2 linked regions of the Caenorhabditis elegans genome follow. The protein of the gene in region 1 purifies or fractionates together with the protein of each later gene. This does not show direct contact. Each region holds a gene or a part of one and is shown in the gene's direction. Other genes may lie near its edges.

The links. Proteins that work in one complex are often made in the same cells at the same time.
Region 2: the proteins of mrpl-11 (region 1) and C23G10.10 fractionate together in Caenorhabditis elegans (co-fractionation; one large-scale study listed by BioGRID). This does not show direct contact.

What each region holds. Positions count from the first base shown.
Region 1 is NC_003281.10:8,715,978-8,719,096, forward strand, and holds mrpl-11 (Large ribosomal subunit protein uL11m), read left to right. Parts: upstream 1-1,666; 5' UTR 1,667-1,669; coding exon 1,670-1,752; intron 1,753-1,939; coding exon 1,940-2,178; intron 2,179-2,227; coding exon 2,228-2,493; 3' UTR 2,494-2,590; downstream 2,591-3,119. Other genes in the region: B0303.14 (uncharacterized protein), read right to left, coding at 140-179.
Region 2 is NC_003281.10:6,212,504-6,215,945, reverse strand, and holds C23G10.10 (uncharacterized protein), read left to right. Parts: upstream 1-1,930; 5' UTR 1,931-2,022; coding exon 2,023-2,136; intron 2,137-2,461; coding exon 2,462-2,591; intron 2,592-2,640; coding exon 2,641-2,834; 3' UTR 2,835-2,876; downstream 2,877-3,442. Other genes in the region: C23G10.11 (Neuropeptide-Like Protein), read left to right, coding at 416-467, 519-658; Serine/threonine-protein phosphatase C23G10.1, read right to left, coding at 3,119-3,289, 3,346-3,442.

The sequences.
Region 1 (3,119 bases):
TTGAATAATTTCAATATTTATATTTTTGTGGATTTGTCAATTGTTATAACGTTTTATGAAAGGTTTTAAATTTCTTTAATATTTTCTACATTTGGTTTTGGTAACCATTAAAAAATTTTGGAAATATTGAAATACTTACCTTCTCCTGGGAATACGACACGTCCAGCAAGTCTTGACATTTGTATTATTTTTCGGTGGTTGAGAGATCTGAAATTAAAATAAATAACTATTTCAAATTTGATAATTAAAAGCGGGGAGTGTACAGGAAGTTTGGAATCTATGATTTTTTGCGATGAATATTATTATTGGCAGGTAAATCTAGATTACGGTATTTTTCCTGTTAACAGCTCATATATCAGTCACTATCAGTTATCTTTGAATTTATCAAAAATTATTCAACTATGAAAATATATGAAAACGTTTCGTACGTAATATAAATTATAAATTGTTTTAAAATGCCAAAAATAAATTAGATAGAAGTTGTCAAAGTAGAGCCAAAGGACAGCAAAAGCAATGAAGAGGTACGGTAGCTTGGACTTTGAAGAAAGATTCTAGGTTAAGATTCTAGGAAAAAAAAACCATATTAGAAACAAATGTTCACCACTAAATAGTGAGTTGTCAATAGTGAATGAAAGCAGAAACATATAATCTTTGCCAGCATTGTAAACGCCACCTTTTTCAGCCAAAATCAATCGATACTACCTTATGATCACTTGGTACAGTGGGAAAGATGTTACCTTCTCATATGACGTCACATCTCCAGATATAAACTAGATTGATTTAGGGCTAGACGTACCAATTTGGGTAGAGGTAGGGGAAAGAGAAAACTATGCATTTTATAGAATATCTTGAATTTAATGAGTCTGAGCGTTTCGGAAATTATTTCCTATATCAACTGTATTAGAATTTCATATGTCGTTAGATATTATTTCAGGCAATGACAATTTTATTTAACCAGGAACCAATACTGTTAAAATAGATTTTAGAGACTTATTTAACTTAATTCATGTTTAAATCACCAAAAATGATATCATAGATATAAACCTACAACTTTTAGTAATTAAAAGTCAACTTGAACATAAATTTGACACAATTCCAAAATTTTAAAATTTGACGTTCCCGTTAGGGATGATTAAAAATCGTTGAAATCTATTTAAAGATTAAAATGAAACCAAATGATTTTAGCAGGCGTCTAGGGAAACCTTTCAATAGACTGGAAGTTGATAATATGTGAGGTAGTACGTTATATTGGACTATAAAATGAGGGAAAACCAATAATTTGATTTTTAAGAGGGTATATTTCATTTTAAAATAAAAGAGAACGAAGGGAATAGTCTAACGTGTTATAATCCAAACATTTTTCTTCTAAATGACATTGTAATATTATTTGAATTTTCAGATACTACAGCAATTTCCAGACTTGCAACTTTGCCGCGCTAAACAACACGCGCTACGACACTCCGCTCGCTCGCTTTTTTGTTTTTCACTGTTTTCAGCTGAATTATTTTTCTTTGAAGCGCGCTCGTCATCTTTTCTTCTTTTTTTTCTGAGTTTTCGTAAATATCAAATTAATTAATTTTAATATTCCTGCTGTTACATCTTTCTTAAAAAATCCCTCTGCTTGCCAAGACTATTTGTGAAATTTCAATTTTCAACGCCTTTTCAGAAAATGGCAAGCAAAGGTGCGGCCCGTGTCAGAAAGAAGGAGATTGTCAAAGTTGTTCATGGAGCGTTACTCAGAACCAATATTAAGTGAGTTTTAATTGGAATAAAAAAATACTTCAGCATATCTCAAAACTAATCCGAAAAGTTCAGTATTATTGTGTTTTCCACATAAATTTGCAAACCTATCTCTCAATTCCGAAGTCACAAAAAAAGTATAGTTAGTTTAAAAAAATTAATTTTTCAATAAAGAAGTAAAATAATAATGTAATTCCAGAGCACAAATGGCGTCGGCTGCTCCACCACTTGGACCACAACTTGGTCAACGTGGGCTCAATGTCGCGAATTTTTGCAAAGAGTTCAACAAAGAAACAGGCCATTTCAAACAAGGAGTCCCACTTCCCACACGAATCACTGTAAAGCCAGATAGAACATATGATTTGGAGATTTGTACACCGACGACGACATGGCTTTTGAAACAAGCCGCTGGTATTGGGAGAGGAAAAGCAAGTAAAGGTGAGAAGCATCTTATGTTCAAAGTTTGCAATTAAATCATTTTTTTCAGACGAAATCGTTGGAAAATTAACGGTAAAACATCTGTATGAAATCGCCAAAATCAAATCACGAGATAAAGCTTTACAACACGTCCCGCTTGAACAAATCTGTCGAATGCTGATAAAAACATGTAGAACATTGGGAATTGATGTACAATATCATGATTTGGATCCAGTCGAATTGAAAGAATTTTTAGTTGCCCGGAAAGAGAAAGTTGATGCTCAGTTGAAGGATTTGGCAGATAAAAAGGCGGCGAAGATGCTCCGAACCACTTAATAAATTTTGTTTGGTTATAGGAATATCCTCCTAGGATAGACGTTTTTTTCTAGTAATTTTTGTTGTTTTTGTTCGTTACAATAAATCTCATTTTTATTTTCTGGATTAATTTGATTACCAATCGTTTCCAGCGATTTTCACATATTTTTCCAGAATTTAATACAGATTAATATTTTCGAAAAATTTAAACATTTTCTTTTCACATTTTAATTCATCTCTATTCATTATGCAATACTCTTTTGGTTTTCAAGCATCCGACATTCCTCCGTTTCATTTATGTTTGCATTTCTGCTGGCATGAATGCATTTCATTGTGTCTCGATGAGAAAAAGGACAATTTCATGAGCTTATCAGTTACTTCGTTTTCAAAATTTTAATGTTGACCAGCCATTGATGTCATATTTTGTCTAAGAAGCTCAAGAACTATTATTTTTTGAAGCTTAATTTCGAAGAGCAACATTTTTTTTCATTAAAATTCAGCAGTCATTGTTCTTTAAAAAGTTTTGATTCTCGTTTTTAAACGATTTTTAATTCAGTCGAGAATTGAATAACTTCCCGATTTCCCGGCCACCATCGTTTAATACCTTTTCTTTATGAGACTAACTTCCAAGTATGCAAATTGCAAAT
Region 2 (3,442 bases), 2.5 Mb from region 1:
ATACAATGGGAGAGAAAACTAACTATTTCGTCGGCCACCTGAAAATCGTTATGTGACGTCACTCCTCTTCAACCTCTTCCTACTGTTCTTTAATTCTCTCCTCGCACCCAGGACAAATGTTCCACCAATAGATCATATCTTTTACCAACGTGCACCTTCTATAACAGATGAGAAACTAGTCGCTTCTTTTGTCTTTTCTCAGAAGAAAATAGAAAAATAGAAGGAGGAGTAGGAAGGGATCACGATGATCGCATGTGGTCGTATGAGGTCACTCCGATCATTGGGAAAATGGGCGGAGTTTATGGTTTTTCTATTTTTGTAGATGCAAGAGCCGTCACTATAAAAAGGAAATAGACTGATGGGAAAATTAACATTTACTGTTTTAAAAATAAAATTATAAACTCAAAATTTCAAAATGAACTTGAATATTCTAGCCGTCCTACTCATCTTGGTTGTCATTTTGTCAGGTAAGGTTCATTTCATGTTTTCAGTCAAAATTCAATAAATTAAAATTACAGAATGCGAAGCTAGCACACTCCGTGATATGTTCACTAAAAACATCAAAAAGCGTCAGGAAACCACTGGTGGAATGCAAGCTGCTTACTCGAAGCTTCTCCCTCCACAAGTTTCCGAATGGTTTTTGAGAAGACACTTCTAAGCAACTTCCTCTCATTCTGTATATATTTGAAGAAAACACTACGAGCAACACTTTTTCTGAACATATCGCTTTCAATTGTAAATCTCAACTTTTTTCTGTGAACAAACATAAAAATTTAAAGCTGATTGATGTGAAACTTGCAGTGTCAATCAGATATCTGCAGCAGACTTAGAAGTTTTTCGAGCTTTGGCAAATCTTTTTGTAATATTTTTTGGAGCGCACAAAATTACTGACACAGATAACTTTACTAATTAGCTTAAAATCATTTTGCATGTTTGTGATCAGACCACTTCTAATCAACTGAAAAACATTTCTAACGGTGACTCTAATTGGTCAAAAAGCTAATCAGAAATCATTTTTTTCTAAGCTGAAGTGGCTCGAGGTTTTCTGAGTACGTAAAAATTCAAACCTATGTTATTTTATTAAAATCAGTTTTTGATCTAATTTCCCTTTTAAAATTTGTTGTGGCAATTTTCAAAAAAAAATTTCAAATTTTGTACATAGTAAATCTGTAATTGTGAAATTTGCTGCACAGCCCTGGTGTCTACAAAAATACAAGTTTAACATTGGCTCGTTGACCATCGGTATTTTAAAAACATTTCAATTCATTTTGAAAATTTTCTACAGTTAAAAAAGTTGTTGAGATTCATGTTGCCTGGAAAATTTTGGTCAGACTGTGTGTCTTGAATCTTTTGCATTTCAGATTCGGTTTACAGTGTTTTTCCATTCATGGCGTATCTACAGTAATCATGTCAGATTTGTAAATAGTATAATAATATTGGACGGTAAAATTCTAAGGAAGTTAATAAAAAACGCTCAAAATGAAATCATATCATTGAAACGAAATTAATCGAGCAAGAAAATCTAATTATTTTTCTACTCATTTCCCCATTGGATATGCAATATACCTTATCTAGCACACAATAACAGCTCAAATTCCCATGGGTGATTGATAAGTAAGAGAAAGAGTGAAGGAGAAGTGTACATTTTGCTTGTTGTCTCCATCTGACTTCTTCGTGAATTCACTCACCACCCTCAGCAGCAGCTTCAAGTATTGCTTAGCAACGCGCATCCTGATATACTGATAAGCTCAGACCAGAAGCTCAGAAGACAGAAGAACTTGGAGAAGTAGAAGTAGTTGCACCTTTCTTTCTTTTTCATCTCTTTATTTATTTTTCTTCTTCTTCAACCGAGCCCAACTATCACCTGTTCTGTGAACTTTTTGATAGGAAAACATGAACAAAAATTATTCGTCTATTCAACCACCGAAGCTATTTGGTATTCGCTATAGGTATATATTTCTGTTCCTTCAAGTATCTAATGCTATTCGATACTACATTTGTCCAGAAGAATATGATTTCAAAATGCCTCACTTCACTTCTGTAACTCTTCTAATTATTATGTTATCAAATGCATTCTCTTTCTTTCATGGTCTTGATGGAAATAAACATAATTGGGAGGTTGTGCAAAAGTGTTTGGTAAGTTTGATTAGAGGGTTGAACAGTATTTTATAAGATTGTGCCAATTTTCTTCGACTTCTTTCAACAAAACAAAAAGTCAATCAGAGCAATCGCATTTCATCCACGGCTACTGTAGTTCGCATCTAGATCTTACCAAAATAGAGTATCAAACTTCTGTAAAAAATATCTTCTTGAAAAATAAATCTATTTGGCCATAAGTAGCTACTTTTCATAGAGACTCGCCTTATTTTCAAAAATAGTCTTTAGACCCCGGGAAGTATCTTTACTTTGAATAGCATATTATAGAAACCTGATAAACTTTCGAAACGAAAAATTATTCCAGACGACCGTAATCATCACCAACCTATTTAATGTGGTCATCTGTTTTTACTACTCTCTCAAGCTTAATGACAAGAATCCGGACAGCGAAGCTTACGTTCGGGATAAACTGATTCATTGGCATGAAGCATTCAGTGAGTTGATTTCAAATTAATCACTAAGCCAAAAAATGAACATTTGCAGTAACATTCGCCATGTTTAGTATTGCTCAAGCTGAGGCAAGATACTTTGATGCAGTTCAGGTGCTTGAGAAGACCAACGCAGAATATGGTTCTCGTTATCCGAAGAGATTCAAAAGATTTTCAATTAAGCATGAGAGCGAGGAAGAGAAAAGTGATTTGGATGGAGATAAAGGGAAACAAAAATCCTATAATTGATATACTTAGATCTTTTATTCTATTAAATAATTGAGATTACAAGTGAATAAGGAAAGAGAGTAAGATTTCAGAAAATTGAAAACAAGATCTTAAGACGATTCACGACCCACTATTGGCGGCTCTTGTTGGGTCCCAAAGAGCAAGTGAAAAGGCGGGTCTAATCATATGGTAAAGTACTGGAATCTTTAAGACCCATAACGTAAACTCGAGAACAATCTTTGAATCACATGAAAATGTTTATATGCCGTATTGCGAGTTATCATCTAAGTCCATTCTTCATCGTCTCATTGTTGCATATCGGATGCACAAGAAGATTCTGCACTGCATTTAATCTCCTCCACCCTAATGTCCTCCGGTTTCAGCACTTCAAATGAGACTTCTAGTCCAGCAGAAACCTTGCAGACCGCTGCGCTGTTAGTGAACGATTGCATGTAATGAGGAGCGGAGAAGACGGTCTGTAAAATAAAAATAAAAATCATTAAAGTTATGATAAAGTTACGATGCTGCATACCACAAGTTTCTTTCCTGCAAAAAACTCATATCCGTCCTGTACAACTTGATGTCCACGAACAATCAAATCAATGTCCAGAAGCTTGCACATCTCCTTC